Linked DNA regions of Macaca fascicularis. The protein of the gene in region 1 interacts with the protein of each later gene in a pairwise test. Links are inferred from orthologs where the notes say so. Each region holds a gene or a part of one and is shown in the gene's direction. Other genes may lie near its edges.

Evidence for each region.
Region 2: the proteins of L3MBTL2 (region 1) and ZFY interact in binary tests that used the Homo sapiens proteins (3 or more experiments, as listed by UniProt). The two-hybrid records come from large-scale screens. The link is inferred for Macaca fascicularis from reciprocal best matches to the Homo sapiens genes L3MBTL2 and ZFY.
Region 3: the proteins of L3MBTL2 (region 1) and MEAF6 interact in binary tests that used the Homo sapiens proteins (3 or more experiments, as listed by UniProt). The two-hybrid records come from large-scale screens. The link is inferred for Macaca fascicularis from reciprocal best matches to the Homo sapiens genes L3MBTL2 and MEAF6.

What each region holds. Positions count from the first base shown.
Region 1 is NC_088384.1:10,403,314-10,413,327, reverse strand, and holds the start of L3MBTL2 (lethal(3)malignant brain tumor-like protein 2), read left to right. Parts: upstream 1-3,515; 5' UTR 3,516-3,530; coding exon 3,531-3,706; intron 3,707-7,658; coding exon 7,659-7,896; intron 7,897-10,014. UniProt on the Homo sapiens protein: Putative Polycomb group (PcG) protein. PcG proteins maintain the transcriptionally repressive state of genes, probably via a modification of chromatin, rendering it heritably changed in its expressibility.
Region 2 is NC_132903.1:2,517,733-2,527,752, forward strand, and holds the start of ZFY (zinc finger Y-chromosomal protein), read left to right. Parts: upstream 1-4,992; 5' UTR 4,993-5,474; intron 5,475-10,020. UniProt on the Homo sapiens protein: Probable transcriptional activator. Binds to the consensus sequence 5'-AGGCCY-3'.
Region 3 is NC_088375.1:197,409,800-197,419,834, forward strand, and holds the start of MEAF6 (chromatin modification-related protein MEAF6), read left to right. Parts: upstream 1-5,007; 5' UTR 5,008-5,015; coding exon 5,016-5,105; intron 5,106-6,202; coding exon 6,203-6,318; intron 6,319-10,035.

The sequences.
Region 1 (10,014 bases):
ACAATCTCAGCTCACTGCAACCTCTGCCTCCTGGGTTCAAGCGATTCAGCCTCCCAAGTAGCTGGGATTACAGGTACGCTGCACTAAGCCCGGATAATTTTTGTATTTTTAGTAAAGACGGGGTTTCACCACATCAGCCAGGCTCGTCTTGAACTCCTGACCTAAGGCGATCCGCCCGCCTTGGCCTCCCAAAGTCCTGGGATTACAGGCATGAGCCACCACGTCCAGCAGAACTCCTGATTTCAAGTAATCTACCTGCCTCAGCCTCTCAAAGTGCTGGGATTACAGACGCGAGCCACCATGCCCAGCCAGACAACTTTTTTTTTTTTTTTCTCTGTCACTAGGGTAGAGTGCAGTGTCATGAACATGGTTCACTGTAGCCTCAACCTCCTGGGCTCAAGCAATCCTCCCTCCTCAGCCTCCAGAATATCTGGGACCACAGGTGCACTCCACCACACTTGGCTAATTTAAAAAAATTTTTACCCTGGCGCAGTGACTCAGGCCTGTGATCTCAGCACTTTGGGAGGCCAAGGCAGGAGGATCACGAGGTCAGGAGATCAAGACTATTCACCCAAGTGGGAGAATCACCTGAGGTCGGGAGTTCGAGACCAGCCTGACCAACATGAAGAAACCCTGTCTCTATTAAAAATACAACAACAACAACAAAACAAAAAATTAGCCAGGTGTGGTGGCGCATGCCTGTAATCCCAGCTACTTGGGAGGCTGAGGCAGGAGAATTGCTTGAACCTGGGAGGCAGAGGTTGTGATGAGCCAAGATCGAACCATTGCCTGGGAAATGAGAGTGAAATTTGTCTCAAAACCAACCAAACAAACAAACTCTAATGCCTTTCCCTTGCACAGAATAAAATCCAAGCACTCCACAAGACCCTGAATGACCTGGTTCCAGCTTTCTCTCTAACCTCGTCTTGTGCCACCCTCTCCATCTTTTGCTATATCCATCTACTCTCCCTATTTTTCTGTTTATTGTGTACCAAGCTTGGGTTGGCCCCAGGACCTTTGCACTTGCTGTTCCACCAATGTGGCCTTTGCACTTGCTGAACCAATCTTTCTTTTTCTTTTTTTTCACCACTATCTCATTCCAGAACATTTATTTATTTATTTATTTATTTATTTATTTATTTGAGATGGAGTCTTGCTCTGTTGCCCAGGCTGGAGTGTAGTGGCGCGATCTCAACTCACTGCAACCTCCGACTCCCTGGTTCAAACGATTCTCCTGCCTCAGCCTCCCAAGTAGCTGGGATTACAGGCACATGCCACCACGCCCAGCTAATTTTTGAATTTTTTTTTTTTTTTTTTGAGGCGGAGTTTCGCTCTGTCTCCCAGGCTGGAGTGCAGTGGCCGGATCTCAGCTCACTGCAAGCTCCGCCTCCCGGGTTTACGCCATTCTCCTGCCTCAGCCTCCCGAATAGCTGGGACTACAGGCGCCCGCCACCTCGCCCGGCTAGTTTTTTTTTGTATTTTTTAGTAGAGACGGGGTTTCACTATGTTAGCCAGGATGGTCTCGATCTCCTGACCTCGTGATCCGCCCATCTCGGCCTCCCAAAGTGCTGGGATTATAGGCTTGAGCCACCGAGCCCGGCCTAATTTTTGAATTTTTAATAGAGATGGGGTTCACCATCTTGGCCAGGCTGGTTAAGATCTCCTGACCTTGTGATCTTCCCACCTTGACCTCCCAAAGTGCTGGGATTACAGGGGTGAGCCACTGTGCCTGGCCAGGTCTATGAGTTTTAAAGATCACCTGTGTGGATTAAAGGTGAAGATTTAAAAAGGGTGACCATGGGAGGCGGAGGTTGCAATGAGCAGAGATCCCACTGCACTCCAGCCTGGATGACAGAGGGAGACTCCATCTCAATCAACCAATCAATCAATAAAAGAAAGAGGGCAGGGCGCGGTGGCTCATGCCTGCAATCCCAGCACTTTGAGAAGCCAAGACAGGTGGATCACTAGGTCAGGAGATTGAGACCATCCTGGCTAACACGGTGAAACTCCCTCTCTACTAAAAATACAAAAAATTAGCTGGCATGGTGGTGGGCACCTGTAATCTCAGCTACTTGGTAGGCTGAGGCAGGAGAATGGTGTGAACCCGGGAGGTGGAGCTTGCAGTGAGCCGAGATCGTGCCACTGCACTCCAGCCTGGGCAACAGAGCGAGACTCCGTCTCAAAAAAGAAAGAAAGAAAGAAAGAGAGAGAGAGAGGGAGGGAGGGAGGGAGGGAGGGAGGGAGGGAGGAAGGAAAGAAAGGGTGACCACTTGAAGGGCTGCTGAAATGGGCCGGTGGCTTGTATTAGAGTGGTAGTGGAGGAAATACAGGATATATTTTGGAGGTAGAAAAACCAACATGTTGGCAGCATGGATACAGGGGTTTAGGGTGGAAGGGGTTGAAGGAAAGAAAGACATCTAGGAAGAGTTTCACATCTCCATGGTGGACCTCAAATTTAGGCATATGTTTTGTATGTATTCAGCCTCCACATATTGCATTTAGAGTCTCAATTAATTCATTGGGACACAGCATAGCATAGGGAAGGAATTTGTACTAAATTTGGAATCCCTATCCTGTGTGATCTTGGAAAGTGCCTAAACCTGAAGAGCCACCACTTCCTCTTCTTTCAAATGGTGATAGGATGTGTAAGGGTTTGAAAAGATGTTTGCAAAGCTCCACAACAGCACCTAGAACTCAGGGTGTCTAAAGAGGTTGTGGGAAACCCTAACGGGATGAGGCAGAGAGCCTCAGATTCAAGGTTTTTACCCAGGAGGGAGTGGTGCATGAGGAAGGTTGCAAGATTTTGAGGAGGCTGGACACTTACAGCATTGAGAAAAAGAATATTCCAGTTTCAGCTGACGCGGTGGCTCACGCCTGTAATCCCAGCACTTTGGGAGGCTGAGGCGGGTGGATCATGAGGTCAGGAGTTCAAGACCAGCCTGGCCAAGATGGTGAAACCCCATCTCTACTAAGAAATACAAAACTTAGCCGGGCTTGGTGGCGGGCGCCTGTAATCCCAGCTACTTGGGAGGCTGAGGCGCGAGAATCGCTTGAACCCGGAAGGTGGAGGTTGCAGTGAACCAAGATCGCGCCACTGCACTCCAGCCTGGGCGACAGGGCAAGACTTCGTCTCAAGAAAACACACACACACACATACACACACAGTATTCCAGTTTCTTTCTTTTTTTTTCTTCTTTTCAATCTGGAGTATTTCAGTTTCTGCCTGAGTTGGAAATGAGTCCCTCTGCTATGCATCCCAGCAAAAGGACACCTTAAATACCTAACTCGGGAGAGTACGAGGTTATTCCTGGAGTCTGGAACAGTGACTATCATAGGTGCTCAGTAACCGTTTAGTGAATAACATCCCAATGAAGTCAAGAGGTTGGCGTAACTGGAACAGTCGGCGTGAGGCGCACCAGGTTTCCAGCGTTCCTGGTTTCCACGTCACTATGGTAACGTCCCACCCTGCACACCCAAGGCGAACTACAATTACCACAAGCGCCCGCGATTTCCCCGCCCAAAGGGAGAGAATGGCGCGAGCAAGCACGGAACCGGCTTTTCCTCCTTCCTGCAGCGTGATTGGCCCGCGGCTCAGGGAGGCGACCAATGAGTGCTCTCGTGGAGAGCGACGAGGCCAATATGGCTTCCTGCACCTGGTGACGCTTGGCGAAACTGAGGTCTCATGGAGAAGCCCCCGAGTATTGAGGTGAGAAGGAGAGGACTTAGCGTGACTTGGAAGGGGAACCCCGAGATCCTCGCTCCGTGGACCCTTCTTTAGGGCTTTTAGCGACGTCTGGAGGATGGAAGGTGGAAGGATGGATAAACTGAGATAGTTAAACTGAGCCAGGGCCAGAGGCGACTGGCGTTACTTTTTGCTCCTCTCCTGCTGGGGCCAATGTTCGGCGAGTTCAGGGAGGAACAGCCGTCCCTGGCCTGGGGGAAGGGGAACTAGGTTTAGGATGTGAGAGCTCCTGAATCGATTCTTTATCCTCATTGTCTCGTGGCCGTGTTCTTTAGGGCTTGTGAGGCCTGTTACATGAGGTGGGAAGTGAAGGGCGATTAACGTTGGGTGAACATCACTCCTTGTCTGTAACGTTCATGTGCATTATCTTCCAGTACCCTCACAGGAATTATTATTCTTTCGTCTTTGTCGTTCAAGCCACTGAGGCTTAGAGGTGGTGCGACGCCCCAGGAAGTTACCCCGGCTGGAAAGTGAAGGAGGTTGGCTCTAAGTCTGTCCGCCTCCGAAACTATCTGTTATGCTTTTCACATTGTACTGCAACCTGGAACCCACTCATCCCTTTTGTTTTTTCTTTCAGACGGAGTCTTGCTCTGTTGCCCAGGCTAGAGTGCAGTGGCCCGATCGCGGCTCACTGCAACCTCCGTCTCCGGGTTCAAGCAATTCTCCTGTCTCCGCCTCCCATGTAGCTGGGATTACAGGCATGCGCAACCACACCCGGCTAATTTTTATATTTTTAGTAGAGACGAGGTTTCACCATGTTGGTCAGACTGGTTTCGAACTCCTGACCTCAGGTGATCTGACTGCTTCGCCTCGACCTCCCAAAGTGCTGGGATTACAGGCGTGAGCCACTGCACCCCGCCTCATCCTTTAATCATTTGGTTTCTGGGCACTTTATATTTGTTTTAAGAGACGGGGTGTTCCTCTGTTGCCCTGGCTGGAGTGCAGTGGTTACTCACAGGCGTGATGACAACGCACTGCAGCCTCGAACTCTTGGGCGCAAGCAATCCTCACACCTCAACCTCCTAAGTAGCTGGGACTATAGGTGGTCTCTGTCACCCTGCCTGACAAGGGTACCTATATTTGAACTGTTTCCTTTCTAGCATATTTGCATGTATAGTTGCAAATATAAAGTGGAATAGCTCAAACATTCTGCAAGGGTAAAGGAAAATAATAATGTGGAGAATAATAGCATGTCACACTTTTAGAGCTGTTACTGACTGCTGGAAATAGAACTAGGCTTTACATATCTTAATCTTCATAAGAATTATCTAAAGAAAGCTTATTATCTCTCTTGTAATGATGAAGAACTGAGGGTAGCAAGATAAAATACGCACAAAATCACACAGTTAATAAATGTTAGAGCCAGGATTCAAACCTAGGCAAATCATAGTCTATGCTTTCAACCAGTAAAAGTTGGCAACGTTTATTGAGCACTTACTATATGCAAGTCACTATTCTGAGTGCTTTGCCTGTATTGTCTCTTACTTCTCCCCCAAATCCTTTTTTTTTTTTTTTTTTTTGAGACAGAGTTGCTCTCTATCACCCAGGCTGGAGTGCAGTGGTGCAGTCATAGCTCACTGCAGCCTTGACCTCCCTGGCTCAAGAGATCCTCCCACTTCAGCCTCCCTAACCACCACGCCCAGCTAATTTTTTCCAGTTTTTGTAGAGACAGGGTTTCCCTATGTTGCCCAGTCTGGTCTTGAACTCCAGGCTCAAGCAATCCTCCTGCCTCGGCCTCCCAAAGTGCTGCGATTACAGGCATGAGCCACTGTGGCCAGCCCCCAAACCCTGTGAAATAGGTGGTACTATCCTCATTGTACAGATGTGGAAACTGAAACACTGCAAAATTGACTTGCTGCAGGTCACACAGCAAGTAAGCACTAGAGATGGTATTTGAGCTCTTCACACCTTTTTTTTTTTTTCCCTTTGAGACAGCGTCTCCCTCTGTCATCTAGGCTGGAGTGCAATGATGTGACCATGATTCAGTACAGCCTTGACCTCCCAGGCTCAAGCTATCTTCCCACCTCAGCCTTCTGAGTAGCTAGAACTACAGGTGCATACCACCACCACCTGGCTTTTTTTTTTTCTTTTGAGACAGTATCTCACTCTCTTGCCCAGGCTGGATAGCAGTGGCATGGTTATGGCTCACTACCGCCTTCACCTCCCAGGCTCAAGCAATCCTTCCACCTCAGCTCCAAGGAGCTGGGAATACAGGCACATGCCACCACACCTGGCTAATTAATTTATTTTTATTTTTTTGAGACGGAGTCTGGCTGTCGCCCAGGATGGAGTGCAGTGGCACCATCTCGGCTCACTGCAAGCTCCGTCTCCCAGGTTCACGCCATTTTCCTGCCTCAGCCTCCTGAGTAGCTGGGACTACAGGCTCCCACCACCACGCCTGGTTAATTTTTTGTATTTTTTTTTTTTTTTTTTTTGAGACGGAGTCTCGCTGTGTTGCCCAGGCTGGAGTGCAGTGGCCGGATCTCAGCTCACTGCAAGCTCCGCCTCCCGGGTTTTTACGCCATTCTCCTGCCTCAGCCTCCCGAGTAGCCGGGACTACAGGCGCCCGCCACCTCGCCCGGCTAGTTTTTTTTCATATTTTTTAGTAGAGACGGGGTTTCACCGTGTTAGCCAGGATGGTCTCGAACTCCTGACCTCGTGATCCGCCCGTCTCGGCCTCCCAAAGTGCTGGGATTACAGGCTTGAGCCACCGCGCCCAGCTGAGTCAAATATTTTTATTTTATAGATGAGAAAATTGAAGCCCACAGAAGTTAAATGACTTGCTCAAGGCCCTATAGCTAGTTAGGATCAGAGCTGAATCTAGCGCTATAGTACACCCCAAGATGCCACAGTTATCTGTGTGTCATCTGCCTCTCCGATCCTCTTTGGAGCAGTCTGGGTCCCAAATTAACTTTTCTGTGACTTAAACTGTTTCTGAGTTGAGATCATTTTGATGTAATATTGAACACAGAAGACATTTCTTTTTTCTTTTTGAGACAGAGTCACTCTGTCGCGCAGGCTGGAGTACAGTGGTACGATCTTAGCTCACTGCAACCTTCGCCTCCCAGGTTCAAGCAGTTCTCTGCCTCAGCCTTCCAAGTACCTGGGATTACAGGCGCCTGCCACCACACCCGGCCAATTTTTGTATTTTTAGTAGAGACAGGGTTTCACCATCTTGGCCAGGTTGGTCTTGAACTCCTGACCTCGTGATCCACTCGCCTTGGCTTCCCAAAGTACTAGGATTTCAGGTATGGGCCACCATGCCCGGCTAAGAATTAATTTGTAATATATATCTTCTACCCCAGAAAGTCTTTGTAAAGTACCTTAGGATATTTCACTTTTTTTTTTTTTTTTGAGATAGAGTCTCGCTCTGTCACCTAGACTGGAGTGCAGTGGCACAATCTTGGCTCACTGCAGCCTCTGCCTCCTGGGTTTAAGCGATTCTTTGCGCCAGCCTCCCGAGTGACTGGGACTACAGGCACCCACTACCACACCTGGCTCATTTATTTTTTTGTATTTTTTAGTAGAGACAGGGTTTCACCGTCTTGGCCAGGCTGGTCTCGAACTCCTGACCTCAGGTGATCTGCCGGCCTCGGCCTCCCAAAGTGCTAGGATTACAGGCATGAGCCACTGCACCCGGCCCTCATTGTTACACAGTATTCTATTTGAACCATGTTAAAATATCATCATTTGGAAATCCACAGAGGAGCCTGGTGAATTCCTAACACATATTTTCTGTCTTGTTAAGCTGTTGTATTGCATCATGGTGGAGAAATGTGGAAATAGGAGTAATGATCCTGGTATTTGGAAGGTTCCCGGAAGTGTGAGGGGGCTGATAGCAGATCTGCAGCTTCTCCCCCCGTGCACTAAAGCCAACCATAATTCTTTCTACCTGGTTTGTGTCATCCTCCATTAGGAGACCCCGTCTTCAGAACCAATGGAGGAAGAGGAAGATGATGACTTGGAGCTGTTTGGTGGCTATGATAGTTTCCGGAGTTATAACAGCAGTGTGGGCAGTGAGAGCAGCTCCTATCTGGAGGAGTCAAGTGAAGCAGAAAATGAGGATCGGGAAGCAGGGGAACTGCCGACCTCCCCCCTGCATTTGCTCAGCCCTGGGACTCCTCGCTCCTTGGATGGCAGTGGTTCTGAGCCAGGTGCCTTCAGAGTGTCCCCTGAGGATGGAGAGGAGTCAGAAGATTATAGAGGAAGAGGGGGATGGATATAGGCTATATGGGCAGAGCCATCCATATGTAAAAGGCTGTTAACTGTGATTTCTAAGGGATCAGATGTGTAAGGATCTGTAAGAGAGACAGAAGCAGCCCAAGTAGCCACAGCGGTACTTCCTTTGCTGAATTTTTTTTTTTTAAGACTTGAGTTGCCGGGCGCGGTGGCTCAAGCCTGTAATCCCAGCACTTTGGGAGGCCGAGACGGGCGGATCACGAGGTCAGGAGATCGAGACCATCCTGGTTAACACGGTGAAACCCCGTCTCTACTAAAAAATACAAAAAACTAGCCGGCCGAGGTGGCGGACGCCTGTAGTCCCAGCTACTCGGGAGGCGGAGGCAGGAGAATGGCATGAACCCGGGAGGCGGAGCTTGCAGTGAGCTGAGATCCGGCCACTGCACTCCAGCCTGGGTGAGAGCGCGAGACTCCGTCTCAAAAAAAAAAAAAAAAAAAAAGACTTGAGTCACGCCCTGTTGCCCAGGATGGAGTGCAGTGGCATGATCTTGGCTCACTGCAACCTCCACCTCCCGAGTTCAAGTGATTCTCGTGCCTCAGCCTTCCAAGTAGCTGGGATTACAGGCACCCACCACCACACCCAGCTAATTTTTGTATTTTTAGTAGAGGTGGGGGTTCACCATGTTGACCAGGCTGGTCTCAAACTCCTGAACTCAGGTGATTCACCCACCTCGGCTTCCCAAAGTGCTGGGATTACAGAAGTGAGCCACTGTGCCCGGCCCCAGTCTAATTTCACATTGTGACTTCATTCATTCTTTCATACAACTAATGTGTATTCAGCACAGTTTAGATGCCGCTGAATAACACGGTGCTGCTTTTTTGTGTAAGTATATACAGTGGATTTCCAGCCTGGATGTTAGAAGACAGGAAACCTAAAGTGTTTTGGTTCCTTTCTGAGAAGGGACAAATAGCTTGTGGCTTGGAAGTCAGGGTGGGAGTGGGGAGGTAATACATGATAAAGTGACCCTGGGTAGGAGGATTGGGTTGGGGGCGGGCAGATGAGAATCCCTGTGGATCATCTGGAAGCCAGTTGAGTTCAGAAATGTGATGCTTGGACAGCTGCTGAACCCCTGTGTCACGGCCTCCCATGTGTGGGCTGCCTGTGAAGAGAGGCAGGCTAGTCTGTGATGACACTGCCATCCCTTGGATCCCAAACTTTTTTTGTTTTGAGACAGGGTCTCATTCTGTCACCCTGGCTGGAGTGCAGTGGTGTGAAAATGGCTCACACTGCAGCCTTGACCTCCTGGGCTCAGGCAGTCATTCCACCTGAACCTCCTGAGTAGCTGGGACTACAGGCGTATGCCACCATGCCTGGCTAAGTTTTGTGGTTTTTTTTGTAGAGACAGGGTTTTGCCATGTTGCCCAGGCTGGTCTTGAACTCCCAAGCTCAAGTGATCCCCCACCTCGGCCTCCTAAAGTGCAAGGATTACAGGTGTGAGCCACTGCACCCGGCCCCAAACTTGTTACAAGAGTAATCTAATACTCTTTGCTGTTGAATCTTACTTCCTTTTTTATTTTTATTTTTTTTTGAGATGGAGTCTCGCTCTATCGCCCAGGCCGGAGTGCAGTGGCACAATCTTGGCTCACTGCAAGCTCCGCCTCCCGGGTTCAGGCCATTCTCCTGCCTCAGCCTCCCAAGTAGCTGGGACTACAGGCGCCCGCCACCAGGCCCGGCTAATTTTTTGTGTTTTTAGTAGAGATGGGGTTTCACCATGTTAGCCAGGATGGTCTCAATCTAACCTTGTGATTCGCCCACCTCGGCCTCCCAAAGTGCTGGGATTACAGGCGTGAGCCACTGCGCTCAGCCTTATTTCCTTTCTATTCATGTTGTCTTCTTTTCATCCCTTGCCTGTTTTATCTTTCTCTCTTCTATCCTCTTCCAACCCTTCTTTTAGAATCTTAGGATTTAGAACTAGAAGGAACCATTAGAGACCACTTAGACCCGGGATTCTGCACATTAGAATCATCTAGGGGAGCTTTTAACAAACTATAGGTGCCAATCTCCCATCACAGACCATTAGAATTTTAGGTTC
Region 2 (10,020 bases), on another chromosome or scaffold:
GTTGAGAGGGAGTAGCATACTTCCTTTCAGGATCATAAACTTCCTCATAGAATTTGGCCTCTGTGCACATTGAAGTTGCAGGTTTTTGAGAGTATTGACTCATCTTTTAACTACTCTAGGCAAGCTTTCAGTGTATCCTGTTGATCTTTCTACCAGACCATAAAGTCTTTCTCTAAAGCCTGTAAGAATCTGAGGATTTTCCATCATCTGAACAAATCTGCTTTGATTTTTGTCTCTTCACCAGTTTCTTTTCTTTCTTTCTTTCTTTTTTTTTTTTTTTTGGGACGGAGTCTTGCTCTGTCACCCAGGCTGGAGTGCAGTGGCCGGATCTCAGCTCACTGCAAGCTCCGCCTCCCGGGTTTACGCCATTCTCCTGCCTCAGCCTCCCGAGTAGCTGGGACTACAGGCGCCCGACACCTCGCCCGGCTATTTTTTTGTATTTTTTTAGTAGAGACGGGGTTTCACCGTGTTAGCCGGGATCGTCTCTCGATCTCCTGACCTCGTGATCCGCCCATCTCGGCCTCCCAAAGTGCTGGGATTACAGGCTTGAGCCACCGCGCCCGGCCAACCAGTTTCTTTTCTTTTCTTTTTTCTTGAAAAGGCGTCTCACTCTGTTGCCCAGGCTGGAATGCAATGGCACAATCTCAGCTCACTGCAACCTCTGCCTCCTGGGTTATAGCAATTCTCTGCCTCAGCCCCCCGACTAGCTGGGACTACAGACATGCACCATCACACCTAATTTTTATATTTTTAGTAGAGACAGGGTTTCACCATGTTGGCCAGGCTAGTCTTGAATTTGTGATCCACCCTCTTTGTCCCAAAGAGCTGGGATTACAGGCATGAAGCACCACAGCCAGCCCCAAATCTTGTCCAAGATGAGACTCTTCTTTGTTGTCAATGTCTGCCATGTAAGAACTCTGACATGAAATCCCTCATTTCTGTTTTAGTTATTTTGGTGGATGAAAATGGCATATTTGTGCATTCTCTGGAAATGTTATAACAAAGACACTCCGTGTAACTATTATTACATTTTAACTCACAAATTCTTTCTCAAGAGTCTGGTCTGAGGGTCCCCATACTGTTTCAAGGGGAATTTCAAAACTATTTCCAGGCTGAGTGCGGTGGCTCAGGCCTGTAATCCCAGCACTTCGGTAGGCAGAGGTGGGCAGATCACAAGGAGATTGAGGCCATCTTGGCTAACACAGTGAAACCTTGTCTCTGCTAAAACTACAAAAAAAATTGGCTGGGCGTGGTGGCGGGCACCTGTAGTTCCAGCTACTCGGGAGGCTGAGGCAGCAGAATGGAGTGAACCTGGGAAGTGGAGCTGGCAGTGAGCCGAGATCGCGCCACTGCACTCCAGCTTGGGCGACAAAGTGAGACTCCTCAAAACAACAACAACAAAAAACTATTTCCATATAACTATAAATACTGCCTTTTGCATTCTTATTTTTCCGCAGGTGTACAGTGGAATTTTCTGGAGGCTACATGACGTGATAAGAAAACAGACTGAAAAAGGGAATACATCTATAAAGAGAAAATTGCTATCACTGTTTTTGGTTGGGAAAATTTGTATGAGCTAAACATGTTATTCTTTTCATAATCAAACATTCTTCTCATAAGTGTTGGTTCTGTACCATTCCTCAAAGGTGGTAATTTTTTGAAATATGTTATTGTAGATTCATGATTTTGGATACATTGAATGGTTAAGTGCATTTCTATAACGTGTTATTATGATACTCATTATTAGTCAGTACAAGCCTCTTCAAACTGGATCACAACATTTTTTGACACACCCTAGTAATGATGTATTTTGCATGTGAGAAATAAGATGCATTTGAGCCACCAGAGGGTATTCTGGGCTGAAATGGGTCCTTCCCCAAATTATAACTCCAAGTACCTCCAACTGTGCCTGCATTTGCAGAGAGGTAATTAAGGTAAAATGAAGTAATATGGGTGATCTCTAATTCAATACTAGTGTCCTTACAAGAGAGTCAGACATAGACACAGGGTGAAGATCAGGTGAAGACAATGATATGGCTGCCATCACTAAAAGTCAACTAGAAAGGCCTTGGAATAAATCAAACCTATCAATACTTTGACCTTGGACTTGGGGCTTCTGACATTGTGAGAAAATGAATTTCTGTTGATTAAACCACTCAGTGTGGGATTTCCTCATGGCCGCCATAGCAGCCGAATACACTTAGTTCTATAAAACTTTTTGAGATTTTTTAAGATACGATGTCTTTAAATTTTGGTTCCATAAAGCTTTTTGAGACATTTTAGATAACATGCTTTTAAATTTTGGTATATGAATGAATGCTGTACTATTGAAGTGTCTCTGCTTTCTCAAAAACTACTATAATCTTTCTTTTGTAAATTCCTTCTTAGTAATGGAAAGAAAAATTCAGTTTTTTTTTTTCTTCATCTTCTTTTGGAAAAAGACATAAAGACATTGTACTGTCTCTTGCTTATGCAATTGTAGCTACTTTATTGAAACCATGATCTTTGTGAGCTGGTTACTTTCAAAGCTGAGACACATTAGCAACTCTGAACAACAGGTACATTTTATCAGTAATAAAAGCTTATTTGCTTTGCAGCCAGTTATTTTGTATTCACAATATACTTTTGAAATATTATCTCATCATTGTCCTTGTATAAATTTTCCCTCTGTTGTGTCTGAGAAAATAAAAAGATGTAATATAGTCGACTTCATCTGTGGAGTCATTTATAATCTTTCTTGGACTGTAATAAAGACTCTTCTTATATGACAACTACAATTAGACCATCCTTTCCTTGTCTCTTAAGAAAAGTTAACATTATGAATGAAAAGTAGTGTCAAAAGCTGTTTAAACTTTCATTATCTAAACTACCTCTGATCTTTTAGATTAGGAAACATCTTTTTTTCCTTTATATTCCTTAGCTGTTCTTTCTGAAGTGCTTTATATATTGGTAATTTTTGATAATAATGGGATTTTTGATTAGCATAGAAGTATTAACAATGTTTACCTTTTTTGTGTTCTGACCATGCTGCTTACAGTTGAGTGGATGATATGAGATCCCATTCTTGACATATCATAGCATTAAATGAAGGCCTTTGGGAAATATTTGATTTACAGCTGTAATCCCAGTGCTTTGGGAGACCATGGCTGTTACACTGAACTGGAGAGTTCAAAGCCGAGTGAACTATGAAGGGGCTACTGCACTCCAGCCTGGGTGGCAAGAGCCAGGTACTCTCTCTAAAAACTTTAACTTTATCAGTATTTTGAAGTTATGTTAATTATGTATGAAATTAGGCTAGTTCTTCACTGAAAGACATTGTAAAAATACTTCTTTCCACAAAATACATTGTCTTAACTTGATGAAATTTTCTCAAACAAGATTTACATTTATTTATTTATTTAAATATAGGATCTTGCTCTGTCATAAAGGCTGGAGTGTGGTGTCACAATCATAGCCCAACTGGGCTTAAGCCTCCCCACAGCTGGGACTACAGGCGTGTACCAACACACTCAGCTCTTTTCAGTTTTTTTTGTACAGATGTATCTCCCTGTTTTCCAGGCTTGTCTCCAACTCTCAGTTGAGCACAAGCTGATTTTATCTCAGCCTTCCAAAGTGTTTTGGAATTACAGGGGTGAGCTGCCTCTCATTTATCATGTTTGAAACAAAATGTAACCACTTGAGAAAAAAAGGTCAAACCAATGGTTTGAAAAGAGAATTGCTATCCAGCCACTAATCTCATTATACCAACTATGTACCATTGGTTTTTCTTTTGTAAAGCATTTTATGACTTTTAGGTGTCTCAGGTAAGGACAAGATGATTTCTGTGAGTTTTAAAAATCGGTATGCTAGAAAACTGAAATACTTAGCCTCTACATTTAGAGGTTACTGGCTCTGGCCTGCAGGCTGCAGTGCAGTGGCTTGATCACAGCTGTCGGCCTGTATCTTCTGGCCTCAAGCGATACTCCAGCCTTGGCCTCCCAAAGCGCTCGGAGGTGAGCCACGGCGATAGGCATATTTAACTTTTTAGTAGCAGCTTTCAAACACAGTCCGAGTCCCAAGTTTAATAGGAAGTTAGCGCGCATAAAACCGTAATGAAAACACATACACGTTTTTGTAGTTTATCAGTACAAGCTGTTTAATCAAATGCATTTTAAAGGTTTTTTAAACTTTAAGAGGATAATTTTGTAAGAAAACAATCCCCAAACCAATTGTTAGTTTACACTTATTAACGAATGTGCATAATTCATTGTTTATGAGAAAATTACACAAAACTGACCTTTCAAGGATGCCAAAAGATGAAACATTGCAATAGAGAACGTATACTAAACATTACAGACCTTGGTCAAAATACCTACGTTAACATAAAAAACTCAAATGGCTTAGTAATTGATTTAGGATAACCCTCCCCTCCTCTTGCCTGCACACTGGTAAGTCCATTTACTTTTTTCTTTTAATTTTTAAATCGAACGTAGGAGCCAGTGGGGGATGCTGTCTGTATCTGTATCTCTGCATCTGCTTTTCTCCTCAACCCTAGGAATAAAGAAAACACATTTACTGCGTGCGGGGGGTCTAAGGACAAGCAAACAATGAGAGCTGTTGCCTTGGCTAGGACTGGCGCGGAGAGGCAATAGGTCTCGGGGAGGCCTGGGGCAGGGTGTGGGAGATTAGGAATCCGAGGTCCACCGGAGATGGCAGGGGGTGGCCTGGCCGGTGCGGGGCCGCTTGCCTGTACGCCACCGACTGAGGCGGTGGCGCGCGAGTAGTGGTGACGGCGGGCGGGAGCGCGGAAGAAAAGAACGTTGTGACGGAAACTCCGGCTGCCGGAGACCCCACCGCAGTGAGGTCACTGGACTCCCCAGTCTCGGGGCGTGACCGGCGGCGACCCGGGGCGCCGGGAGGCCCACCGGGCGGAGGGGGCCCAACTACCATCCCGCATATTCCTGGGTCTCTCTCCCGGGCGGTGACGTGACGTGCTGACGGCGGGCCTGTGCCGGGGAGCTGGGCCGCTTTTTGTCAGCTCCGAGCTCGGCCCCTCCTCCCTCCCTCCGCCCGCCCTACCAGCCGGAGCCCGGCCCAGTGCTCCAGAGAAAGGCCGGCCTGCAGCACCCGCCGCTGTCGCCGGCGGCCCGCAAGTCCGTCGGGTGAGTCCCGCGTGCCCCCGCGGCCGCGGGGCCTAGTGCGCGCGCAGTAACTTGCTCGTGGCCTGGTCGGCGTCCCGTAGGGCGCCCTCCCGCGCTAGGCCGGCCGGCGTGGCGCTCGGCGCCGAACAGGCCCCGAGGAGGCCGCAGTTAGGCCTGGGAATAATTCGGCCGCCCTGAGAGGATGCGGAGGTGCGCTCCGTAAGCGGGCAGGGGTGGGAAAAGGTCGCCTGTTTGTTCGGAAGGCGGTTGGTGGACCCGGGGTCGAACCACTGCAGACCCAGGGCGCGGCACGGGGGCGAGGCCTGGCGAGGAGGCGAAGGCTGCAGGCGTGAGGTGAAGGCCGGAGGCCTGCTGGGCCTATTTTCGCTATGTAAATGTCCGCGAAGGGGAGGAGGGACCGGGGGCAAGATGGCGGATAGTAGGCGCCTGCTGCTGGGGAGTATTGAAAGTGTTGTCGGGAGGCGGAGCCGCCATTTTGAAGGCGGTATCTGGAAAAGAATTCCGTTATGATCCTTGAGCCGGGGATGGGGAAAAGGGCGGCCGCGGCGGCGGCTGCGGCCGCCCAGATTCCGGCGCGACGGCGTGTCTGCGCGACGGGGCGTGCTCGTTCCCTTGGCGGCCTTTGCCTTTGTCGCCATGCGCGCGCTTACATTCCAGACTCCTGCAGCAGCGCCACCTCTCGGCCTTCCCCTCACAGCCGGTCCCTGGCTGGAGGCTGTGTCGGCTACGCTTTAGCTGACATGCTGCAGACGTCTGTTCGGGTGCCGGAGTCGCAGCGCTCCCTGCTCTGTGTCTTTCCCAGAGTCTATAGCACCCTACTGGGCAGGTGGCACTTAGGGCACCTGGGCTCACGAGAGCACATAAATTCCAGAAAATTTTATTTTCTCCTAATTAAAGTCATTATGTGGCTGTTCGGGGACCTTCCATGCGCTTATTTTGCAACCATCATTGCCTCCTCGAGGATCTGAAAAATATCAATGGGATTTATTATAAAAAAAGTTATTAGACATCATTCGATAGACAGTACAGTACAAATTATATAGCACGAGGGCAGAGGAATAAAATTTTAAGGCGACTTCTCTCATTTATGTGGAAAAACTTTTGATGAGCTGTATTTAAACGAGCTTTTTAGTCTGGATACTTTTTTTTGAGTAAGAGATGGAAAATAGGCAGAAGAGGTATTTTTCTCTTTGAAGGACAATACATTACTTGTAGGTTCATATACCCATGATGACATTGAGATTTTATTTGAAATTTCTTATACAGTTTCATCTTCAAAAGACTTGTTAGCATTTTGTGCAACTTTGCTGGCAAATTGGAGCACAGTAGCGTGAGCGTTGGACAGTGCTAGGTACTAAGAAAGATTTAAAAGGCGCTTAATGCAGAACGTGACTGCAAAAAGTTTGCTGTGGGCATTTCACAGGAAGGCGAGGTTTCAGGTTGCAAAATTGGGAAAGGATTCCTGAAGTAGATAATGGGGTTTAGCTAGGGTTACTGAGGGATGAGTAGGATTTTCTTAGGTAGGGTGGGAGTAGGAGAGGTCATTACAAGAATGAAATGTCTGTAGAAAATGGCAAATATTTACGGTTTGGCTGGAGTGTGTAATATAGATAGGAAAGGGATACAAATTTAGGCTGTAAAAGATAGATTCTGAAATGCGTTCGTGGCACACCTGAGATTATGCTGAGCTCTGGCTGCAGCTGTTAGAACAGTTTCAAGGCTGAGAAGCATTGAGGGCTAGTAGTAAATTGGTGTTTCCGTTACCGGATAGATGATCAAGAATGTAGCTATTTTTTGGCCGGATGTGGTGACTCATGCCTGTAATCCCAGCACTTTGGGAGGCCGAGGCGACGAGGTCAGGAGATCGAAACCATCCTAGCTAAGACGGTGAAACCCCCTCTCTACTAAAAATACAAAAAATTAGCAGGGCGTGGTGGCGGGGCGCCTGTAGTCCCAGCTACTTGGGAGGCTGAGGCAGGAGAATGGCGTGAACGCGGGAGGCGGAGCTTGTAGTGAGCCTGGATCGCGCCACTGCACTCCAGCCTGGGCGACAGAGCGAGACTCTGTCTCAAAAAAAAAAAAACAAAAACAAAAAACAAAACAAAAAAAAAACCAGTTGTCAGAAATGCAGTAGCCTTCAGATGGCTGTATGCAAACATTGCCCTTCTTGGTGAAGGTAATCCTCTGATGAAAATAGTCTTCAGGTGAGCAAGCTTTAAAATTGGCAGTTCACTTTATATGTGAGGGTCCTAGATGCAGTAGTTTCAGAGAACATGTACAGCACTTGTTTCCTAGACTTTTACAATTTATAAAAGGCAGGTTTTCAGTTTTCCCAGACTTTAGCATATCAGAGCTCTGATGATTCAAAGAAGTCTGAAGGAAACTAGAGATTGATGGTTTACAAAAGTGTGGCAGTGTATTGCAGGAGGTAGTCAAAGGAAAAAAAAAATTTTTTTTTTGTTTTGTTTTGAGAGAGAGACTGGCTCTGTCGCCCAGACTGGAGTGCAGTGGCGCGATCTCGGCTCACTGCAAGCTCTGCCTCCAGATTCACACCATTCTCCTGCCTCAGCCTCCCCAGGAGGTGGAACCACAGGAGCCCGCCACCACACCCGGCTAATTTTTTTGTATATTTAGTAGAAACGGGGTTTCACCATGTTAGCCAGGATGGTCTCGATCTGCTGACGTCGCGATCCACCCATCTCGGCCTCCCGAAGTAGTGGGATTACAGGCGTGAGCCACCGCGCCCGGCCATCAAAGCAAATTTTTAATGCAATCTAGTTGTTGACTTGCTAAGGGCCAACATAAACTGTAGAGGTAGTTGATTTATATCTTGACAACTGAAGAGCTGTAAAGAAGATAGAATTGTATCTTGTACAGTACAGCAGTTGTAGATGTTCCAGTACATCAGCAATGGATGTGCAAAAAGAAGACAGGCAAGTGCATAGTTTTAAAGGATTTATAAGGAAATTGTTAAGTAAAAAGTACTTTTTTGCCTGATGGGATAGACCTTGACGATCTGTTAGTCTTTTTTTTTTTTTTTTTTTTTTTTTGAGACAGTCTCGTTCTGTCACCCGGCCTAGAGTGCATTGTTGCTATCTCAGCTCACTGCAACCTCTGCCTCCTGGGTTCAAGCGATTCTCCTGCCTTAGCCTTCGAAGTAGCTGGAACTACAGGTGTGTGCCACCATACCCAGCTAATTTTTAATTTTTGTAGTTTTAGTAGAAATGGAGTTTCACCATGTTGGCCAGGCTGGTCTCAACCTCCAAACCTCAGATGATCCACCTGCCTTGGCTTCCTAAAGTGGTAGGATTACAGGCGTGAACCACTGTGCCGGACTTCTGCTAGCCAATTATCTTGGATAAATGAGTTGTTAGTTTTTAATTTATGTGTATTTTTTAAATAGATGCCCCCCTTTTTTTTTTAAAGCATACAGTGCTTATATATATATATATATATATAAAAAAATAACTCTGACTCTGTTTACATTTGTATTGTCACTAATTGCTACCTTTGAATTGTTGCATTTATGCGTTCTGGCAATTGCAAACTTTTTTTAGATTCTTAAGTTCTTCAATGCCAGCATATTATTTTGTTACTGAATTGAGAAAGATAGATGACCATATGATGCAAATGTTTGATCTCATTCATTTCATACTTTTGCTTTAGTTCTTCCTTCACTTTACTTTCTTTTGTTGGGAGAAGTGTTGCTTTCAAAGTTCATTTTCTCTGTTTACCCTTTCCTTACTCTCTGCCTGCCCCTTTCTATAAATATTCATAGATATGCTTATTTTACAAAAAGCGTATCTGTCTTCTCTTTAGTTTCACTAGTACTTTTATTTCTATTCTTCCCACTTCTAAATCTGGTATTTCTCAACATGTGAAACTGTTCCACAGCAGGTAATTGGTGTGTCACCTGAAAGTGTACTGCATTTCAGAAACTCTCTGTCCTTTCTTTGTCTGCTCTGGTCATTTTCCTAACCTAAATGTGGAATTTAACTTGAGATTAATTACTCGTTTTCTCCAAACTTCTTCCCTGGCATCCCTGTCTCTTATTCTCACTCATCAAATTTCTCATCTAGCATTTACAGTTACTTACTGAACACCTCCATCCTGACCTTTTATTAACAGTCCATATTCAATATTGCTGAAACCAAATTTATCTGGCACAGAGTAGGTGCCCAGTAATGTGCATTGAACCTCTTTTGCCCTAGAGTCCCTAAAATAATTCCTGCTTTTTGCTATCTTCCTTTTCCAGACACTACCGTTTTACCAGGCTTTCTTTCATCCTTGTCACTTAGAGCAGTGTAGATATCTTTAATTAACATTTAATCTATTGTATTCTAAATGTAGGTTTATACTTTTGTTTTCATCCCTAACTTTTGAAGCCCTTAATTATAGTAGATAGTTTCTTACCTTGATTTGTTCCGCTAACAGAATGATCTGGCAGATAAACATTATTTCAAAAAAATCATTTGAAATAATTTAATGCAGAGATTTATATGGAGTTGAATGGCCCTCCAATTGAAGTTAAGGAGCCAAATAGTGTTCTTGAATTGTGTAAGTATTGAGTGTTCATTTTTTGAAGGCAGCAGATGAAAACAGGATTCTCAGGAACATGTTTCCACCATTGCTTTAACCATCTACCTTGGCTGACAGCCCATTCTTTTTCTTACTAAATTGTTTTAAACATAGTATTTTAATAAATATGGCGCTCTTATTTAGCTGTAAAATGTAATAAAGGAGAGTAACTAGATTTTAACCAAATTTTGCTTAATTGAAAGAGGAATTTTAATCTAGGAAAGGCACAAAGGAATCTAGGAGAGACACAAAGGAATCTACGTCAATGACTTTAAAAAATTAACAGTTAATATATTAAACA
Region 3 (10,035 bases), on another chromosome or scaffold:
ACAGTATAAAATGTTCATGATTACTATTTTTCTAATTTAAAAGAAGTTTAGAGGTGAGGTTTTGCTATGTTGCCCAGGCTAGATTTGAACCCCTGGGCTCAAGTAATCCTCCTCCCTGCAGCCTCCCGGGTAGCTAGGATTACAGGTGTGCACCACCGGCACCTAGCCATGTTACTATTTTCAAAGAAATAAATGAACTTGAAAATATCCACAGGTCGGCCGGGCGCAGTGGCTCAAGCCTGTAATCCCAGCACTTTGGGAGGCCGAGACTGGCGGATCACGAGGTCAGGAGATCAAGACCATCCTGGCTAACACGGTGAAACCCCGTCTCTACTAAAAAAATCCAAAAAAAAAAAAAAAAAAAAAAAAATCGGCCGGGCGCGGTGGCTCACGCCTGTAATCCCAGCACTTTGGGAGGCCGAGGCGGGCGGATCACAAGGTCAGGAGATCGAGACCACGGTGAAACCCCGTCTCTACTAAAAATACAAAAAATTAGCCGGGCGCAGTGGCGGGCGCCTGTAGTCCCAGCTACTCAGGAGGCTGAGGCAGGAGAATGGCGTAAACCCAGGAGGCGGAGCTTGCAGTGAGCCGAGATCGCGCCACTGCACTCCAGCCTGGGCGACAGAGCGAGACTCCGTCTCAAAAAACAAAACAAACAAACAAACAAAAAAAACAAAAAACAAACAAAACAAAACAAAAAAAATCTAGCCAGGCGAGGTGGCAGGCGCCTGTAGTCCCAGCTACTTGGGAGGCTGAGGCAGGAGAATGGCGTGAACCCGGGAGGCGGAGCTTGCAGTGAGCTGAGATCTGGCCACTGCACTCCAGCCTGGGCAACACAGCGAGACTCCGTCTCAAAAAAAAAAAAAAAAAAAAGAAAATATCCACAGGTAACAGTTATGGGAATAAGTGAAATGGGAGTTATTTAGAAGACCAAGTAGAAGTTTCAGAAATGAAAAGTATAATAACTGTAAACTCATCAATCAGTGACTTTAACAGCAGATTAGTGCAGCTTCAGGGAGAATTAGTGAACTAATAGAACTAATGGATAAGAATAAATTATCTATCCATATTCTTTTTTTTTTTTTTTTTTTGAGACGGAGTTTCTCTCTTATTGCCCAGAGTGCAATGGCACGATCTCGGCTCACTGCACCCTCCGCCTCCGGGGTTCAAGCAATTCTTCTGCCTCAGCCTCCTGAGTAGCTGGGACTACAGGCGTGCACCACCATGCCTGGCTAATTTTTGTATTTTTAGTAGAGACGGGATTTCTCCATGTTGGCCAGGCTGGTCTCGAACTCCCGACCTCAGGTGATCCACCCGCCTCGGCCTCCCAAAGTGCTGGTAATACAGACATGAGCTACCGCACTTGGCCTCATTTTCTTTTTTTTGAAACGGAGTTTCGCTCTTTTTGCCCAAGCTGAAGTGCAATGGTGTGATCTTGGCTCACTGCAACCTCTGACTCCCAGGTTCAAGTGATTCTCCTGCCTTAGCTTCCCATGTAGCTGGGATTACAGGTACGCGCCACCACGCCCGGCTAATTTTTGTATTTTTAGTAGAGACAGAGTTTCACCATGTTGCCCAGGCTGGTCTTAAACTCCTGACATCAGGTGATCTGTTCGCCTCGGCCTCCCAAAGTGTTGTGATTACAGGCACTACAGGCGTGAACCACCGCCTGGCTTTTTTTTTTTCTGTCACCCAGGCTGAAGTGCAGTGGTGCAATCCCAGCTCACTGCAACCTCCACCTCCTGGGTTCAAGCGATTCTTCTGCCTCAGCCTCCCAAGTAGCTGGGATTACAGGCGCCCACCACCCTGCCCTGCTAATTTTTGTATTTTTAATAGACACAGGGTTTCACCATGTTGACTGGCCTGATCTCAAACGCCTGACCTCAGGCAATCCACTTGCCTCGGCCTCCCAAAGTGCTGGGATTACAGGTGTGGACCACCATGCCCGGCCTATGCACATTAATTTAACTTAGATGAATGGACCAATTCCTTGAAAACTATAAACTACCTTGTTATGGCTTGGATGTTTTGTTTCCTCCAAATCTCATGCTGAAAGTGGTCCCCAGTGTTGGAGGTGGGGCCTGGTGGGAGGGATTCAGGTTATGGGGGTGGATTCCTCATGAGGGGCTTAGTGCTTTCCCCACAGTAACGAGTTCCTACAAGATCTGGTTGTTAAAAAGCGCCTGGAACTTCCTCTTCTCTCTCTTGCTCCCTCTCTTGCCATGTGACACACTGGTTCCCCTTCACTCTTGGCCATGGTTGTAAATTTCCTGAGGCCCTCACCTAGAAGCGTGCACAACTATGAGCCAAATATGTCTCTTTATAACACAGTCTCAGGTATTCCTTTATAGCAATGCAGAACAAACTAATATAGGAAATTGGGATGGGAGGAGTGGGGGATTGCTATAAAGATACCTGAAGATGTGGAAGTGGCTTTGGAACTGGGTAACAGAGAGGGTTTGGAAGAGTCTGAAGGGCTCAGAAGAAGTCAGGGATACAAAGAAACGTTTGGAACTTTGGATGGTGGGTACTGGTCACAGTGAGCTGAGATTATGCCATTGCACTCTGTGACAAGAGCGAAATTCTGTCTCAAAAAAAAAGAAAAAGAAATATTGTAAAGAAATGCATAGATAGTTTGGCAGTTCTTTTTTAATATGAAGCTGGATTTAGTGTGAAGCCAAATTTCACATCCGTGCTTGCATTGCTTCACACTATGTTTACTGTTTTGCATGGATAGTGCTGGCACTGGAGTACTTATTGGTCATGTGCCTAGAGTGAATTTCTTGATTTTGCAGGATCTTTGGTGATATTGGTGGACTTAAGGATATTGAATTGTGTATTAGGAATAAAATATTCATTATGTCAAGTTTTGGGGGGCTCTGGGTAACACTGTAGCCTCCAGGGTAGATTGAGTAGGAAAAATTTAGGGTTGGTTTCCTGTTTGTTTTTGTTTCTAATTTTCATTCATTTGCTGTTTATTCTCCTCTGGGCCTTGCTTGTATATGCATCCATCTATCTATCTATCTATCTATCTATCTATCTATCTATCTATCTATCTATCTATCTTGGCCTTTTGGCTAAGATCAAGTGTGTATTCATATATATAAAGCCATGATTTTTTTTTTTTAATTTTAGTTTCTATTGGAAGGCTTTTATTTGGTTTTGTGAATAGTTACTTTGCTGCCCATGCGTTTCTAGCAGGTCATCATTTGTTCAGGCCCCCAGGAATTGATGGAGCACACCAGCTTGTCTCGCTGTGTCCCCCAGGCTGGAATGCAGTGGCGCAATCTCCGCTCACTGCAAGCTCCGCCTCCCGGGTTCACACCATTCTCCTGCCTCAGCCTCCTGAGTAGCTGGGACTACAGGCGCCCGCCACCACGCCCGGCTAATTGTTTATTTATTTTTTTTTTTTAGTAGAGACAGGGTTTCACCGTGTTAGCCAGGATGGTCTTGATCTCCTGATCTTGCGATCTGCCCATCTCGGCCTCCCAAAGTACTGGGATTGCAGGTATGAGCCACCACGCCCGGCATGCATTCCTCTTAAAACAGGGAACAAGTCAAGGATGTTTAATGTTATCATTTTTATTTAACAGACTACTGGAAGTCTGCACAATAAGGAAGAAAAAGAAAAAGAAGCCAGCTTAGAAAGAAAAAAAAAAAACGCCCCATTTGCAGATGAAATTATCTATGTAAAAAATTCCAAGGAATCTATACAAAACCCCCCTAAAATTAGTAAGGAAGTTCAGCAAGATGGCAGGTTACAAGATCCGCACACGAAACCAGTTATTCAGAATGCAGCACAGAGGGACAAAAAGATAGAAAATATAGACGGTAGGTTAAAAATAAAGGTTTCTTATGTTCGAGTTCCAGAAAGAGAGAGAATATGAGACAGGCATCTGAAGAAAAATGACTGCGATTTCCCAAAACTGGTGGAAGATACCAACCCACAGATTATAGAAATCCAAAGACTTCCAAGCAAGAAACAAAACAAAAAGAAAAAATATCCCACTTAGACTTATGATAGCGAAATTGCAGAAGAGTGAAAGATGGAGAGCTGAGGAGGGAGAAATCAACAGGGGCCAAGTGAAAACAACGTCTACACCTTGGACTTAACGATAAAAGCGAATTCGTACTTGCAGAGTCATTGGCACCTGCCAAACCCCTTACACACATTAGCTGATTTACTCCTCACAGCAACTGTATTAAGTAGATTCTATCACTGCTTTCATTTTACAGATGAGGGAGTTGAGATTTGGTTATTTACCCAAAGGGGCACACTTTATCGATGTAGCGATAGGATTTTGAACAAGGTAGTTCTCGCTCCAGTTTTGTGCCCTTAACCACTACACATACTTGTTTCTCCAAAGGGCAATGGGAAAATGGGAAGCCACTGAAAGGCTTTAAACAGGGGAGTGATAACATTTGTTTCTGGAAGATTCCGGCACCACTGTGGATAGTGGATTAAATGGGGCTAAAGGTGGAAATAAAGAAGCTGTTGGAATAACGTAGCCCCAAACAGGGAGGGCCTGAATGAACTAAGAAGGTGGCAAAAGGCGCAGGCACAAGCAAATGGATTCGCGAGCTCTTCCGGAGTCGAATCCACAGGGCTTGACCTGGTATCGCGTTTTACTCCGGGTGCAGAGTGAGGAAAACCGGGTTTCTGACGCAGGCAATTGCGGTGGATAGTGAAAGTCATTCACTGAAGTGGACTGAGGCGGGACGCACAGGAGACTCGGAGGCCTGAGGACGAGCTAGGCTTTGGACACGGTAGATTTGTGCCGTCTGTAAAGCCCGCGGCCAGCCGAGGGGCAGGAAACGGCGTAAAGGGCAGAGCAGAAGCCGACTCTCTGGACCTCTCCGAGAAGGATCGTCCAGAGTCCCGGCCGCAGAGCACCTCTGCGCGGCGCTGCACGCGTCTCCGGAAGCCGCGCGCGCAGGCGCAGTGCGGGGGGCGCCCCCTGGCGGCGCAGGGACCGCCCCCAACCTCGCGCCGCCGCCGCCCGCCTCAGCCCAACATGGCGATGCACAACAAGGCGGCGCCGCCGCAGATCCCGGACACCCGGCGGGAGCTGGCGGAGCTCGTGAAGCGGAAGCAGGAGTTGGCGGTGAGGGGCTAGGACCGGGGTTGCCCGGCATGGGGCTCCGCGCCCGCCCCGCCTCCAGGCCCCAAGCCCGGCTGCGCCAGGCCGTTCGTTACTCCGGGGGCGCGGCGCGGCGGGCTGTGTGCTCGGCGGCCTGAGGCCGGGTGCGCATTCTGCGGCCCGCCGGCGGTTCAGCTTCCCGGCTGTGCGAATCCGGAGCCGGGAGGGAGCTGGGAGCGCGGGAGGGGGAGGGGCAGCGGCAGCCGCAGGAGGGGGCGTGGAGGGAGGACGGTGCCGGGGCTCGGGACTCGGGGAGAGGGCGCTAGGAAGGGCGAGGCGGGCGAGTCCGTGATCTTTGCGGGGTGGGGGTGGGGTAGGAGGCTAGTGTGGGAGGGGGACCGAGTCACCCTGTCTGGACTTTGGAGGATGGTGGGGAGCGTGTTCTTTTTGGTACTAGTAGTAGATCCGTTGAATGGAGGCTTTTGATAGACAGGGTTGTGATGTGTTTGGGAATATCTAGAAGGTGACAGGCGAGGGAGAAGAACACATTCTGGAGAATTCGGAATTGTGACAGGCACCCAAGGCCCAATGCACCCTGGTGGCTAAGCTCTTCCTGCCCTCACGTCTCGGCTTGGGCACCCCGGAGGCCCCTCTCACCTGAAGCTGCCCTTCCAGGTTTCCATAGCAACTGGCAGCCCGGTGCCGGCGGCCTCTCTGAGCCTGCGGGGAGGGGAGCGAGTTGACGCTGAAAGGCTGCTCACCCTTCCCTCTCCTGGTAGCGATACCTTTTGTGCGTGGGAGTGGATATCGCACAAGTTCTGCGTTAGCCTGGGTTCTTGACTCCTGGTTTCCGTGAATCCTCTAAAGTATATGCAAAATTTCGCGTGTGTGTGTATTTTTCTGGGGACATGCTTTATACATTCAGAGGTCCATCACACCCAAAGGTCTAGACTGTCTTAGTCCTAAACGGCTGCTCCTCCCCATATCATCCATCTCTCCACAGGGTGATTTAGTGTGGACAAGCTTGCGTTTACAAATCTAATATCAGGATTTCATTTTGGTCAGACTTAAGTGTTTGCATTTAAAAGGCATTATTCATGTCCTTGTTTTTCATCTCTCAGGAAACACTGGCAAACTTGGAGCGACAGATCTATGCTTTTGAGGGAAGCTACCTGGAAGACACTCAGATGTATGGCAATATTATTCGTGGCTGGGATCGGTATCTGACCAACCAAAAGTGAGTGTCGAAAGCCTGTAGTGTTCCTATTGTGTTCCTATTGTGTGTGTTTGTAGGACTGTAGGCTCTTAGTAGCAAGTTTGCTAGAGGCAGTAGTAAAGTGGTGGTGTGGTCTGGACTTGAACTCTTGGACTCTGGCTCAGGCACTGCCTCACTGAATAATCTTAGACAAAGCTCACGTCTGTAAAATAGCAAAAGTTGGGCCTTTGGCACAGGGTTGTGTGAGGCTTAAATACAGCATATAACAATATCTTTATACAACATCACTCTATTAAATTTTTTACACATTTTAATCAGTCGTGAGTTCTACCCTCACAGTATTTTTCTTTTCTTTTTTTCTTTTTCCTCCTGAGTAGCTGGGATTACAGGCGCATGCCACCATGGCTGGCTAATTTTTTTATTTTTAGTAGAGACGAGGTTTCTCCATGTTGGCCCAGCTGGTCTTGAACTCCTGACCTCAGGTGATCTGCTGCCTTGGCCTCCCAAAGTGCTGGGATTATAGGTGTGAGCCACCATGCCTGGCCACTTTTCTTTTTTCTAAGAGACAGGGTCTCATGCTGTTGTCCAGGCTGGAGTGCAGTAGCACAATCTTAGCTCACTGCAGCCTCAAACTCCCGGGCTGAAATGATCCTCCCACCTCAGCCTCTCAATTAGCTGGGACTACAGGCACACAATACTGCACCTGACTAATTAAAAACATTTTTTTTTTTTTGTAGAAGTGGGGTCTCACTTTGTTGCCCAGGCAGGCCTGGAACTCCTGGTTTCAAGCAGTCCTCCTGCCTCAGGTTCTCAAAGTGTTGGAATTAAAGGGGTGAGCCACCACGCCCAACTGACCCTCACAATTTTTGCCATACCTGTGTGCCAGCTGTACCACTGCTTGCTTAGTAATATTTTTAAAAAATTTCTAAACTTTTGGATTATCTTCAAGTTATAGAAAAATGGGAAGAATAGTATATGAACACTTGATACTGTCCTACCTGTATTCAGATTGTTAATGTGTTGTGACATTTGCTTTCTCTTACTCTCTATAATATTAATATAAGCACACACCTGTATTTACATTTCACGTTTTTAAATTGTGAAATAATTATAGATTCATAGGGAGTTGGCAGAATGGTCTTTTGTAGTCTTCATCTAGTTTTCCCCAATAGGTGTGTTGTTTTTTTTTTTTTTTTTTTTTTTTTTTTTTTTTTTTTTTTGAGACGGAGTCTCACGCTGTTGCCCAGGCTGGAGTGCAGTGGCGCGATCTCGGCTCACTGCAAGCTCCGCCTCCCGGGTTCCCGCCATTCTCCTGCCTCAGCCTCCTGAGTAGCTGGGACTACAGGCGCCCGCCACCGCGCCTGGCTAATTTTTTGTATTTTTAGTAGAGACGGGGTTTCACTGTGGTCTCGATCTCCTGACCTTGTGATCCGCCCGCCTCGGCCTCCCAAAGTGCTGGGATTACAGGCTTGAGCCACCGCGCCCGGCCAATAGGTGTGTTTTATATAACTCTAATACAGTATCAAAGCCAGGAAATTGACGTTGGTACAATGTATATATATAGTTCTATGTCACTTTATCTTGTGTGTAGATTCATGTGACCACAATCAAGTTACTTCAGGAACTATTCCATTACCACAAAGATCTTCCTCATGCCACTCCTTTGTAGTTATATCTCCCTGTCCCCCTACCTTTTTTTCCTACTTAACTGTTTGAAAGTTAGATGCAGATATACTGACACTTTGCACTTAAATGTGTCAATAATTATCTCCTGAGTATAAGGACATTTCTCCTACCTAACCAGTTATTATACCTAGAAAATCAGTACTACATTAATAGTATATAATACATAGTCTTTATTAAAATTTCCTCAGTTGTCCCAAAAAATTCTTGCTGATTTGTTTTGATCCAGGATTCAGTAAGCATTCATGCATTGCATTTGGCTGTTATGTCTTAAGATTGAAGAGAGTCACCCTTTTCGTGGTGGTTGTGGTGATATTCATGACATTGCCTTGTAGAATATCGCAGTTTCCTGAGATTTTTTGAGGGCAAAACTCATGACTAATTAAAAGGATCCTGAAAGATCCTTTAAACATTTTTGCAAAAATGTTACATAGGCAATTGGTGTATCTTTTGTTATCTATCTCTCGTTTACCAGGAGGCACATAATGTCACGTTGTCTTATTATTTGGTGCTGTTAAGTTTGACCATATGATTTATCTGCTATAAAAGTTCGTTTTTTCCCATTGTGTTAACAAGTAATTTTGGATGTTATGCTTTGAGACATTATGAAAATACTGCTTCCTCTAAATTTGTATTCAGTTGTTTAGTGTACACCGTTGATTCTTATCTGAATCCATTAGTACACTGGAAGTTGTAAAATGGTGATTCTCTAATTTTATTATTCCCTTTATTACTGGCATTCTGAGAAAGAGTCTTCCTTTTTTGACTTCTTTTCTTTCATTCTCCCACATTTGTCCCAACTGTGGTCAGAGGGAGCCTCTTCAAGCTGGCTTGTTTGTCGTTTTGACGTGACCCTATTATTTTTGGAGCACTCCATTGCTTTCTGGCCTAAAAGATGTCCCATACTTACCTTGTGCATTTTTTGTCCCAGACCTGGTATCAGCCATTCCTCTAAGGAACCCTGGTTCCTACTTTAAATTTGAGAATTAAGTTTATTTAAGAGACACTTCATATCACTAATCTGTTCTCGACTTTTTAAATAATAAGCGTTAAAATAAATACATATTGGCCGGGCACAGTGGCTCACGCCTGTAATCCCAGCACTTTGGGAGGCTGAGGCGGGTGGATCACCTGAGGTTGGGAGTTCAAGACCAGCCTGACCAACGTGGAGAAACTCTGTCTCTACTAAAAATACCAAATTAGCCAGGTGTGGTGGTGCATGCCTGTAATCCCAGCTACTCGGGAGGCTGAGGCAGGAGAATCGCTTGAACCCGGGAGGCGGAGGTTGCAGTGAGCTGAGCTTGCATCATTACAGTTCCGCCTGGGCAAGAAGAGCGAAACTCCGTCTCAAAAAAATATATAAATAAATAAATAAGGTAAAATAGATACATATTAAAATGAAAATGTGGCCAGGCACAGTGGCTCACACCTGTAATCCCAGCACTTTGGAAGACCAAGGTGGGTGTATCACTTGAGATCTGGAGTTTGAGACCAGCCTGGCCAACATGGTGAAACCTTGTCTCTACTAAAAATACAAAAAGTAGGCATGGTGGGGTGCACCTGTAGTCCCAGCTACTTCAGAGGCTGAGGCAGGAGAATCACTTGAACCCAGAAGGTGGAGATTGCGGTGACCCAGGATCGCGCCACTGCACTCCAGTCTGGGAGACAGAGTGAGACTCTCTCAAAAAAAAAAGGCTAGGTGTGGTGGCTTACGCCTGTAATCCCAGCACTTTGGTAGGCTGAGGTGGGCAGATCATGAGGTCAGGAGTTTAAGACCAGCCTGGCCAACTTGGTGAAATCCCATCTCTACTAAAGATACAAAAGAAAAAATTAGCTGGGTGTGGTGGTGCGTGCCTGTATTCCCAGACTACTCTGGAGGCTGAGGCAGGAGAATTGCTTGAACCTGGGAGGCGGAGGTTGTGGTGAGCCGAGATTGTCCATTGTACTGCAGCCTGGGTGACAGGGTGAGACTCCGTCTCGGAAACAAAAAAAAAAATAGACTGGGCGTGGTGGTTCATGCCTGTAATCCCAGCATTTTAGGAGGCCGATGTGGGT